Zea mays: one gene and its partner. The main gene of each other region encodes a partner of the protein of the gene in region 2 in a complex. Links are inferred from orthologs where the notes say so. Each region holds a gene or a part of one and is shown on either strand. Other genes may lie near its edges.

The links. Proteins that work in one complex are often made in the same cells at the same time.
Region 1: AUGMIN subunit 4 (region 2) and AUGMIN subunit 7 share a complex: the UniProt entries of both Arabidopsis thaliana proteins name them as parts of the augmin complex. The link is inferred for Zea mays from reciprocal best matches to the Arabidopsis thaliana genes AUG4 and AUG7.

The regions. Positions count from the first base shown.
Region 1 is NC_050099.1:32,961,814-32,968,073, forward strand, and holds AUGMIN subunit 7, read right to left. Parts: upstream 3,544-6,260; 5' UTR 3,483-3,543; coding exon 3,349-3,482; intron 3,211-3,348; coding exon 3,125-3,210; intron 3,039-3,124; coding exon 2,977-3,038; intron 2,818-2,976; coding exon 2,726-2,817; intron 2,512-2,725; coding exon 2,386-2,511; intron 2,216-2,385; coding exon 2,125-2,215; intron 1,712-2,124; coding exon 1,604-1,711; intron 1,455-1,603; coding exon 1,356-1,454; intron 933-1,355; coding exon 744-932; 3' UTR 559-743; downstream 1-558. Other genes in the region: 40S ribosomal protein S3-3, read left to right, coding at 3,989-4,018, 4,102-4,421, 5,378-5,432, 5,519-5,650, 5,762-5,911. UniProt on the Arabidopsis thaliana protein: Contributes to the assembly of the acentrosomal spindle and phragmoplast microtubule arrays as part of the augmin complex. Regulates the association of gamma-tubulin with the spindle and phragmoplast microtubules.
Region 2 is NC_050100.1:72,638,192-72,644,451, reverse strand, and holds AUGMIN subunit 4, read left to right. Parts: upstream 1-2,202; 5' UTR 2,203-2,265; coding exon 2,266-2,400; intron 2,401-2,479; coding exon 2,480-2,527; intron 2,528-2,615; coding exon 2,616-2,699; intron 2,700-2,945; coding exon 2,946-3,299; intron 3,300-3,513; coding exon 3,514-3,613; intron 3,614-3,714; coding exon 3,715-3,760; intron 3,761-3,996; coding exon 3,997-4,090; intron 4,091-4,206; coding exon 4,207-4,278; intron 4,279-4,392; coding exon 4,393-4,451; intron 4,452-4,602; coding exon 4,603-4,671; intron 4,672-4,813; coding exon 4,814-4,865; intron 4,866-5,372; coding exon 5,373-5,450; intron 5,451-5,532; coding exon 5,533-5,610; 3' UTR 5,611-5,914; downstream 5,915-6,260. UniProt on the Arabidopsis thaliana protein: Involved in microtubules reorganization during spindle and phragmoplast development.

The DNA of each region.
Region 1 (6,260 bases), on a different chromosome or scaffold from region 2:
TGTCATCCATACCAACGCAATGGATATTGTGGTGCACCTTGCGTGGACCTAAACGCGGTGGCACACATCTAAGGTCGATATGATTCAAAGTGGACTCGTGCTGGTCCAACCCCAGAGAATCGTGCCGTGATTGGACCGTCTTCTTGATCCACAATGCCGGCCCATCCTGACACGATTGGATTTTTATTTTCAAATTATTACTTTACATATATATTTATATTTTTCCTTCATTTGTATAGCACGAACAAACAATAGCATGACTAGTTACGAAGACATTCACACTTTTTTTTGAAAACCGGAAAGAGGATTGCTTGTTATATTAAAAAGGAGATGAGCGCATACAAGGGCTAGAGTACGCAAGTCCACCACACTAGGAAATGAGACTAATTATGGTGGCACAAATGTCCCATGTCAACCTCCCCCCCTCCCCAAAACATACAACAGGCTTGCTAGGGATTTACTCCTTAATCATCGCTATAGTCTGTGACACGGTCTTTTTCTAGTAGAGATTATTGTGAATCTAGACCACCACGACTTTTTCTACATAAACAATTATGATTGTGTATCTAGACATAATTTGGAAAATATCAAAACAATTTATAATTTGGATCAAAGGGAGTACATGCACTAGCTGAAATTAAAATGCAAACAACTGATTTTTTATAGGAAGCAAACAATTGAATTAATAGAAGCTTACATACATAAGTTCACTGACTATATCTTACTATCCAAATACTGTAAAATCATAGCGTTCCCCCCTGCTCACGTGCCACGGAAGTTGAAAGGATGGAAAGGCTGTGATTCAAGAAGGTGAGTGCAGATTCGCAGTCTGAAATAATCTTGGTCACAGATGAAGGCTCATTAGAAGCCGACAGTGAACCAGCAGCCATTGCAGTGTATGAATCTCGGAGGCTCCTCAGATTTCCCAAGAACTGCAAAGTCAGGTATAAATAACCAGGTCAAAAAGCATGTTTCGTAGGTTAGAAACAGGCACCCAAAAGACAGAACACAATGCACTATCCAATTGGAGAGAACATGGAATGAAGGATCCTGAGAAGATGCCCACTAAAGGTAAAGTGATATGGTATTGAGTGTCATACAATTTCAAGACATGGTATTTCAAGAGATATCGTATTGTAAAGATATGGTGCTCAATGCTCAGTAACTGCACAGAAGCTGTAGTTATCAAAGCAGGTTAAATTAGTTCTCAACTTCCAGCAGAAACACATTCTGTTTTATTCCTGTTGGTTACACTGTCATTGGGTTAAGCTTGTCACAGTCTGCAGGTCAGTGATAGTAAAGTATCAAGAAATGAACAACATGACCAATCAGTGAAGTGGACATTCCAAAATTACCTTTAAAAGGGTATTATATGCCTCCAAGAGGCGATTAGCAGCTGGACCGAAGCCATGCAATTGTGGCACTTCCATCATGTGGGTCCAAGGATGGATTTCCTATATTATGACAATTTAAATCACCTTTAGTATAGAATTGTTCAGCACTTAAAATTAATAATCAGCAACAGAAAATATGCTAAGGATACCTATCCAGTGTATATAAAAAAGATATGGGGAAAACAGGAATTGCTGCATAAGGTAGTCACCTTAGTATATATTGTGTTGAAGGATTTAACCGTTTCCAAAAATGATTGCAAGTATTCCCTCAACTTCAACTCTGTCTCCGCATAGTCTTCATTTGGATTATAATCATACTGTCACAAGCAACTACGAAGTTAACTTAAAATAGCATGATACTGACTACTAAGGGAAGAGCAACAAACAATATCATATACACACAAAAAATTAGAGCATGGTGTACCGGAAAGTTATTGATTATAAAACTAAGTTAAATGATCATATGCTTTGAAAGATAACATACAACTGTGAAAATATCAACAAAAAACTTTAGCATGCAGGTTGGGGTGTGAAGCAACAAACAAGAGGTCGCAGTTAGCTCTGCCTTTGATAATTAATTAGCAGCCTTTATAAATTTCAAAATGTAGAAAACTGTAAAGCTAGTGCAGAAAAAGTCTGTCCAAGTTTCCGTTCATACATAAACCATCATTAATTTGGGGGAAGTGGTGCTGAACTTAAAACATAAGTACAGTTGTATATTCTATTATACCTTCGATGCTAACTCCTGAACCATTTGCTGCAGATTAGACATCTTTTTGGTATACTCCGAGAGCTTTAACTCTAGTTCAGCAATATCAGGCCTACAAAATGAGAATTGAATTCAAATTAGAAAATTTGAGGTGATTTGAGCAATTTTGTTAGTTGAGGATCACAGGGCGTCAACAAAGATTCAGACCAACAGAGCAATTCTGTAGGCACATGAAGCACCTAAACAGTACATTTGGCAAGTATTTAAATTGGAAGTACTTACAAGGGGTAAATTGATTGTATTTGAACATCCGCAGGGAAAAGCTTGCACTCCTCTGAAAAAATTTGGGCTTGTTTCTCAGCAATTGAATCTACTAGTTGCACATCCTTCTCCAATTGCTTATCAACACTACAACGGTACAAATTGTTCTCAGTACTTTATGTTAGGTACCCTCCTCATATGCAAATTATCACAATACTTTTTCTTTGTAAACAGATTTCATTTGGCATCATGTATTACGATGTTGGAAGAAAGTTTTATCACAAGCTTCCCAAGTTTTATGTATAATCAACATAGTAGGTACATTTCATTTCAGATAAAAATAATTGTGTGTAAACCCGACCTCCATTCTGGATTGTCAGCGTAGCAACTAGCTTCCACTAGGTCAACAATAAGATGGAGCAGTTCCACCCGCTCCTCATAGCTACCTCGACCCTGCAACAACGACAGTTATGAACTGATGAAAGATGGCACGCCATACATCTCAGTTTGCATTTGTGCTGTGCTAGACATCTTGGTATCTTGCATGGCAATAGCAGCATAAAATCCAGCAAATTTAACACATAACACATATAGGCCAGCCATTTCTCTCACCTGAATCGCCTCGGTGTCCGCCGAAGGTGTGATGCCCAAGAAGTTGGCTATCTCCGCCAGGTCTGCAGAACCACACGCCATGGTCAGCACCACGCGCGATCCCGGGAAAGGAAAGCATTTTAGCCTAATGATGAAACCAAAACGTTACGTTGGATCCTGTTGTTCTCCTCGTCGCGGTCCAGGCTATCCCCTTGCCAGTTCTGCTGCGTGAAGGGCGATCTGTCGCCTAGGAGCCTCCGGAACGCGCACACACCAAACGAGCAGACCGTCAGTTCCTAGCCCGAATCCCAAAATCGAAGGCCAAACCCAGCAGAGAGATCACAGCTCCCAGAAAGCAGGAGAAGCGGAGAGGAAAGGAAATGCGGCGCGTACCGGAAGAAGAGCCACTCGAGGAGGCGGTAGCGCTCGACGCCGGCGAAGAGGAGGGATTGCGCGGGGGCGTTCGCCCGCGGGTACTCCAGCAGGGATAGCTTCCGCTGGATCTCCTCCATCTGCTTCGACGCCATGGTTGCTCTCTGCTCCGCTCCGCCGCGGCGGCCGGCCGTTGGTGGGGATGGTGGGTATTGGGCTGACGGCGACTGACCAACGAGCTAGATGGTAACGAGATGTGTTTGATAGTTCCCCAAATTTTAATTTTCCTACCGATCCCTTTCAAAATTCGACGAAAGGGTCGTCGCATACTCGCATGCGTTTAGTTGCAAATCAGGATTGATTCATAAGGAGCCCGCTAATTGGGCTAAAATTCATAACTATCGGCTAGAAGGCCCAAGGCCTGCAGTGAGACCAAGTATCCGCAAATGGGCCTCAAAGCCCCACTAGCTCTCACTCGCCTCCCCCAGCCAGAAGGCGCATCCAAACCCTACCCAGCGCCCAACATATAAATTACGTGCTCCCTCTTCGCCGCCGTCTCTCGCGCCGCCACTTCCCTCCCGACCCACTATCCCAAAACCGTAGCGCCCTCGCCTGCTCGCCGCCGCCGTCGTTGCGAGCTCCCCATCTTCCTCCGTCAACCATGGCGACCCAGATCAGCAAGAAGAAGAAGGTACGCGAGCTCCTCCTAAACGTAGCGCTACCAGCCCTTCTCCCCCCTGCGTCGATGGATCTGACCTGTGCTCTTGTCCGTAGTTCGTCAGCGACGGCGTGTTCTACGCCGAGCTCAATGAGATGCTGACGCGGGAGCTCGCGGAGGACGGCTACTCCGGCGTGGAGGTGCGCGTCACACCGATGCGCACGGAGATCATCATCCGCGCCACGCGCACGCAGAACGTGCTCGGCGAGAAGGGCCGCAGGATCAGGGAGCTCACGTCTGTCGTCCAGAAGAGGTTCAACTTCCCCGAGAACGGCGTCGAGCTCTACGCCGAGAAGGTCGTCAACCGCGGCCTCTGCGCCATCGCGCAGGCTGAGTCCCTCCGCTACAAGCTCCTCGGAGGCCTTGCCGTCCGGAGGTATAACTTGATAAGACCCTACTCCCTACCAGCTAGCTGTGTGATTTGCTGATTTTGATGTGCTTGCTACTACTTATAATTTGTATATTCTTGTTCGTTGAATTGTATTTAAGTGGTAACTATAGCATCGAAAAATTAGGAATACCTTGCCTACACTACCCAAAATTTGGAATTATTAGGAGATCATAACCTATAATTTGCTTATAATCTATTTAGAAGAATTTTGAGTTGCTTAAAACTTCCAAGTTGAGACGTTAGTCATTGGTTAGAATGCTTGCACCTGTGATTATATGTTCTGCCTTCAGTTCTTGTTGGTTAGATATTGTACTGGTGCAGAAAGGAAATGCTGCTCCTTGAGGCAGTGGCGGCCAGACAACCGTTGAGACAGATCCACAGATAAATGACTAATATCCTGTTTGTCTACTAAATCTGTCTCACATTTCTTCAGTCCCATTGACCTAATAGCATAGCAACTTCATTGACCTTAATAGTCCTTTACAGTAGTTGTGCCCACTGCATGCAAATTTATCGTGTATCAAATACATTTTTCATTTTTGGCACCTATATTTATATTTACCTGCCATCTTTTATGGTAGTGGGGCTTAAGATGGTGCATAGAGGAAATGCTGCTCTTGTAGTAGCGGCGGCCAGACAACCGCTGAGAGATAGATCCACAGATGAACAATCTTTCTGCTGTTTGTCTACTAATTCTATCTCACATTCTTGACATGAATGGTACTCATAGGCTCATTAATTTTCTTCTATGTGCCGCCTTTCTATCCATCGTATCAATTTATGCCTTTGCTAATATATTTTCTTGTTTGGATGATAAAGTGTCATTGTTCGTTGGGCGTATCATTAATTCTTGTGTTAAAAAATGCTACCTAAGGTTGTTACCCTGTCCAGTATTACAGTTAGTCTAGTTCTCCTTACTAACATGCTTGTTTTGTCGGCAGGGCCTGCTATGGTGTTCTTCGCTTTGTTATGGAGAGTGGTGCCAAGGGTTGTGAGGTTAGTGCTCCTGTGCACTATGAGGGTCTGTTCATTTTCTGATGATTGGTGAATGCATGTCGACAGCCTTATTTGTTCTAATACAGGTCATTGTGAGTGGAAAGCTCAGGGCTCAAAGAGCCAAGTCCATGAAGTTCAAGGATGGCTACATGATCTCATCTGGTCAGCCAGTGAATGAGTACATCGACTCAGCTGTGAGACACGTCCTCCTCAGACAGGTTTGTTTTGCTACAATTGCCCGTTGTAATGTCTGTTTGTCTCTGGGTAAGCACTTCATTTTCGACGTTCCAAATGTAATTTCTCAACAAACATCTTTTTCTGTCGTGCAGGGTGTTCTGGGTATCAAGGTGAAGATCATGCTTGACTGGGACCCGAAGGGCAAGGTTGGCCCGATCACCCCTCTTCCGGACCTGGTGACCATCCATACCCCGAAGGAGGAGGACGAGCTGCGCCCTCCTGTCTTGGCAGCTGAGGTCTAAGGTCCCAACAGCGTCCTCGAAATGGCAGTTTGATCTGGTCCTAGCTAGGTTTGTATCTTATGATAAGGGCAGTGCTAAGACAGTTCGTTCCGTGTCACTTCTGTTTAAAATTAAGTTTTGCCGAGACAAGCTATATGTACCGGATGAAAGTGTGGTTCCTTATTGTATGCTCTGGAATTTTATTTTTGGTATGTTTATTTTTTGCCTTAGTTCAACATGCCTCCTGCTTGGACAAAGTCAAATTAAAAAACATGCTTGGACAGACAGCGTCATGTGGATTGAGCCGTTTGTATTTTCTGTCGATTTGGACCAAAATGTAAATATAAATAAAGTACATAGCGTAGCCTCA
Region 2 (6,260 bases):
GCGGATGGAGTTCAGCTCCGGTAAGCAGCAGCAGCTAGAAAAACGAGTTTTACCTGCCCAAGAAATGAGAGAGTCTTACACGCACAAAGAGCCGTTGAAGGACTGGAAGTGGGATGAGCTTGAAGAAACCGGACACGGCCTCAAGGCAGTAACCTTCGTAGTTCATCAGCAGCTGCAACTCTTCTAGGTTCGGCATGTCTTTGAATGGGTCGAGCCAGCTGAGTGAATCAACATGCTAATCTGATCCACAAGAGTATCCCAATCCCATTCACAGGAAGCGTCACGGTTGGTGACGAAGACGTTGCAGTGCAGGGCGAACGACTCCAGCGCGGGCGCGTCGACGCAGAGTTGTTTCAAGGCCTGGCAGCCCACGAGCTCCAGCACCCGCAGCGTCTCGCTGGCCACGCTCACCATGGCGAGGCGGGAGCAGCGCTTCAGGCTGAGGCGCTCGAGCGCCGGACAGTTGGCGACAAGGCCCCGGAGCGCCTCGTCGGTGACGTCGACGTGGCTGAGGGAGAGCGAGCGGAGGCCGGCGAGACCCACCGCGGGGAGCGGAATGGCGCGGAGGCTGAACCGACCGAGCGCCAGCCGCTCCAGTGAGTTCCTGGCCTGGAACAGATCGGCGGGGAGCTCCAAGAGCGGCGCCTCGTGACCGGCGTGCGGGACCTCCTCCTCCTCGCCCTCCTCCTCCTCCTCCTCCGGTAGCGGCGGTGCCAAATCCACTTCGACCGCCCTGGCGCCCCTCCGCAGGCCAGCCGCGATCCACCCGATGACGTCTTGCCCGTCCAGATCTGATGGGCAAACCAACGCCACGCATGAGTCTGCTGACCGGTTGGGTGAAGGCAGCCGATGGGGAGGAGTTGGAGGACGACAGTGCGCTGCAGGCCGCCGATGGGGAGGTGGAGTCCGACGGTGCGGTGGGGGAGGAGGTGGAATGCGATGATGGGGTGGAGGAGAGGGAGGGGAGGCCGCCGGAGTTGAGCGCAGTGGAGGAAGCGCGCGAGCCCGTGGCTGGAGCCGCCGGCGGAGATTAGGTCGCGGCCGTCGCTGGAGATTAGGTCGCACGGTAGGCTGCACGCTGGACAGTGGGCTGCACGATGGGATGGGCCTCAGATCTACACAAAAATTATTGGGCCGCACGAACCGCTGCCACATGTGTGTGCCATCTATTTTATTAGTGCCACATTGGCCATTGAGAGTAATGGAACATGGCTTATAAGGGCAGCTGTGGATTCTATGTTGCTCACTAAGAGAGATGGGACGGAACGTTGAGAGAGATGGAACGGAACAGAATGTAGCACATAAACTTGTGCATGTATTGTTTATTTTGTTGCGCGGGACTAACGGAGACAGAACAGCCGTTGGCAGAACGCGTCAGAGGCAGAACACGTCAGAGGCAGACTACTATTGCTTACTTAATAAGTAGTAGAGATATTGATTCCGTAGCAACGCACGAGCTTACACCTAGTCAAATATATATAAGATTAAGAATATAACACAACATTACATTACCTAACATTTAAAATACATATTTAGAATTATATGGCTAAGCCTATGTTAAATCTACAATTAAATCTACAAAATTGTGGTAGTGCTGGTCTGTCTTCTGAACCCGTGATTTGAGACTATCTCGATCCCTATAAAATTAGTGTAAAAACAAAGAATCTTCTGTAGTAATTTAGAAACGTATCATGTGCAAATCTACTTTTTAGTGTAAACCGTGCAAACAAGTGTTTTTTTAAATAACTCCTACTGTGCATTAGCTTCAAAACTTGCGCCAACGTGTTGTTTTGCACTTGATATATTCCAGTAATTTTTTTTGTTAATCACCACTTCCCACTAATGACTGAAAACTACTTTAGAGCCACGGTGGCCTAGATCTATTTTTAACCGGATTGTTTGTGTAATTTATATAAATTTTGATTAGTTGAAACGATTCTAAATGCATTTATGTATAATCGAACATGGGCACATGCCTTACTAAGATCAAACGCTATCGATAATTCGTCGTTTTCTGTTTCAGCATTGTATTGTTTTTTTACCTCAGTTCTCACACGACTACACGAGTGACACCAGCTGGCTTTCACAAGCTTCTCTTGCATTGAAACCATCCGGCCGGCCGCGATCTGACCCGTCCATTTGCCGATCCAACGGCCACCAACCCACCACCACCACCTCACGAGCCCAACCAAATTCAAACCAACGCTACCGTGCAACCAAACCAACCAACCCCATTCCTCCGCCGGCCGCCGGCAGCCGCCCGCGATGTCGAAGGCCGCGGCAGCGTCCCTCCCGCCGCCGCCGCCAGAGGTGGCGCACCTTGTGGAGCAGCTCCAGCGCCACCACCTCGCCCCGGACGCGTCCCTCCTCTCCAGCTCCGCGCACTCCGACCTCCTCCAGGTACGCCCGCCCGCCGCGCCCGCCACCCTCCTCACCCTACCGGCCTACCGCTGCTCACCTGATCCCTGTGCCGGCGCAGGCGCGCGAGGAGGTCGCGGCGGAGCGCGCGCTGTACCTCGAGGCACTGGTGAGTCCCGACTCCCCGCCCGCCTCGTCGGATCCGCATTTTAGGTTTTGCTCGCCGGGTTCTCATCAGATCCGGCGCTGTGCCGTAGGCGGTGTACGCGGAGGCGGTGGCCATGGTGGAGGAGTACCATGCGGCTGCCGGCGCCGGCAAGAAGCTCAACTGCTCCCCGCAGGTTCTGCTCCTCTGTGACGAGTCCTCATTTTAAATTGACTGGTGCAATTGTGCAAATATATCTTCAAATGTGAGTTGGGTGGGCAGTACTAGCTGAACAATAGACCGTGGAATTCCGCACGGTTGGTCAATGGGAATTCCTCATCGTTGGTTCAATTGACTTAGCACCATGTTCGGGAAACTGTCCAGCAAAAATTACATTCTGATTCAGTCGCTGAGCTTTGTCGGTTCTGAACTTCTGATCCAGGTGTACGAGTCTTTGGAGCACCGGTTGGCCGTGGCAGAGGCAGCACAGAGGCTTAGGCTCCCACTGCTCTCTCAGGACGGGGAGGTCCATGAGCAGGAGATCGAAAAGCTGAGCACCTATTCAAGAAGTTCATTCGATAGCACCCTCACAAGCGCGACACCCAGCTCAAGTTCAATCTCGACGAGTTACAACAATTATAGCAGCAGCGCTAGTGCGGTGACTGTTGCTGCTCCACATTGGAGTGGTAGTTCTGATGCAGTTGAACCTGGAGTTGGTGGTGTTCCTGACCGTTTTCTTGGGATCACTTCTGATTATCTCTACCAAGTGCAACAAGAGCAGCCAGCCATGTCTGTTGTAAGAACATTTTTTCGTGCCTAAATGGTCAATTCAAACCTTGTTACTTTTTTTATGTGGTTAACGTAATTCTGGTATATACCTTTAGAAGTGCAAAACTATTCTGTAACCAATTTTAGACTATGTTGCGTTTTATCCTTTTTGTCAATGAGTGAAAGAATAAATAAAATCTTCACCTGAACTTTGAAAGCATCTGCTTTTGTGTTGATTACAGGACATGGTTGATTATCAGAGAACTTTGGCTAGGGAGATTGAAGCCCGGTTAGAAGCCAAGTGTGATGCTTTGGCTGATCTATTTGCTATGGATGAAAGGGGTCAGTTACTGAAACTAGTGGAAGATTAGGAGAGAGGGATGGAGCAGTCCAAATTCTGGTTCTGGTTATTATTCTGTCTTACCTTAACATCTTTGCTGCAGATTCGTCATCCCTCAGTCAAATTTCAAGTGCTAGGCTTCCAGAAAGGTAGACTTTCTTATCTTACATTTTACATCACACTGTACCAATCACCTATTTAATATTAATACCATCTCACCGTCCCTTCTTTGCTGCAATCCCATCCATTTACATAGCCAACATATCTTGGCATGAGTGCCCAATTTTCCATGGAATTGGAAACTCATGTGGAGCTTGTGATATGATGAAGTTGGACAGGCGTCCCTGATAAGTATTCCTCATTTTTTTTACTTCCCATTTGACAGGGTAAAATTAATCATCGAAGAGATAGAGAAGGAAGAGGCACATCTCCTGGAGGACCTTGCTTCAATGGACAGAAAATTTGCTGAACATTATAATGTATGTTTGTATGCCTTTACTAATGCCTATTTTTTCAGAGGTGCACTGACTTTACCTTGGCACAAATTCTTTCTCGCACCTCTAAGTAATTAGCTATGGTTCTGAAAATTCCAAAGGTCTTGGAGCAAATTCTTGCTGTGCTTATACAGTTTGTTAAAGACAAGAAATTGGAGCATCAGCACCAATTTGTAAGCATTCTCATATTCTGTTCTCTGGTTGAACTTCTTCAAAGTAAACATGTCACATTTTCATACTGTTAGTATTATTAGTCGAAGTGTTTAACATGTCTCATTGTCTAACAGGATGATCTGAAGAAGACCTGGCTTATCAAAAGGTGTCGGACAATGAATGCTAAACTAAGGTTGGTACTCGCAACAGTGATCATATTATAAGTGTACAACAGTTGTTACTCTATACAACAGTTCTCTCTCTATATATTTTGAATTCCCTGTGCTAAGGGATTTGAAGATTAGGTTAACTATATATATATATATATATTACTTTGATTCCAGCTATCTGGAGCATCATCTATTGCGTGACACTTACACCAAGGACACAGTACCAGCACTGCACAGGATCAGGTATAGTTAAGGCAATCGATCTTGTAGTGGATATACTTTTTTAGTCATGTTGCACTTGTTATTCATAAGATGGATTTGATTTGTTAGGTGCCTTTGGTTTTCAGCGAAGGACCTTCTTGTAACATATTAACTGCTTTTGCAGGAAGTATCTTGTAGAGGCCACAAAAGAAGCATCCAATTCTTATAATGAAGCGGTAAGATACATGATTTTGCTTCTTGAAATATTTCCAATGTCTGGTTGTATGAACAGCCAAGAAAAAGCTCTCAAATTGGTGGCTACAACTCACGAAGAGTAGAACTGTACAAATCTTAAGAGCCAATGCCTAGCAGCTACTTTTTAGTGAAAAAACAACTAACTGATACCTTGAGGCTGTATGAAGTAGTTAGCATCAAGTTATAATTAATCATTTATGACTAAGCAAAGTCCTGCTTAGGAAGGTTAAATGTGCAAACATGTGACAACCTATGATTTTAATGTTAACCTGCTGCAGTAGGCAATTTAACCTGATGTAGAGTTTATTCCAGTTGCATAAACAATAACCAGACATATGGTATTCTGTATTTTTTCATTTTTAACTACATGTCTGGAGAAAGAACGGTGCCATACTGCCATCTCAAGGAATATTCCGTCTGAAAAGAACTCATGGAACCCAATGTTCCGCCAGCTAACTGTTTGCTCTGATGATTGTTCTTGGTGTCAGGTTTCGCGGTTGCGTGAGTACCAGGGTGTAGATCCACGGTTCGATGTGATTGCGAGGCAGTACCACGAGATTGTAAAGGTAATCTGGCTCAGTGTTGCTGCCACTAGTTTACCGTATGTTTTTACTTGCTAAGTTGCTAACCCTGGTCGAGCTTCATCAGAAACTGGAGGGCATGCAGTGGACAATTCACCAGGTGGAGATGGACCTGAAACCTCACCATGACCACGCAGCTGTTTAAGTCCACATCTGTTGGAGGCCATGTTTATTACCTGAATGCAGCGGGTGCGAGTTAGGGGGGTTGCAGTGGATTTGATTTGAGTCAGAGGGTTTCTGTTTGTGCATGTTTTTTTTTGTGTATATCCATGTTGGATAATAGCACCATCAATGCTTGCTTAGTTATACGGTCATGTATTCGGTTTGTTTGATGACGAGAAACACTAGAAGAGAGCGAGACATGGAAAACACCAGAACAATTATCATTGTACTACGCATCCACTGCCATGTCATACAAAACAAGGCAAGTCTAGATGACTTTTATTAGGAATCCTAATGGCTATAATGGAACGTAGTAGCCGAGAAGAAGGCTTCGTCCGGAGGCATCTGTTTTGCCAGGAAGTGATTACCTGCTCAAGTGTCATTATATTTCTATTATAACATTTCTAAACTAGTGATGATAATAAATAAGGTCGAAGCAAGTACATTATGCTAAACAACAACGGAGATGTTAAGCCAGGTTACTATAGCAATTACGTCTGGCTAATTTACTAGCAATGATAATGTACATGGTAATTTCCATATACAAACGTATTCAAGCATTTCTAAAACTACAGCTAGAGGCCTGCACACTTATATATACAGATATAAAAGGTGCAGAAGATGGATGCATCT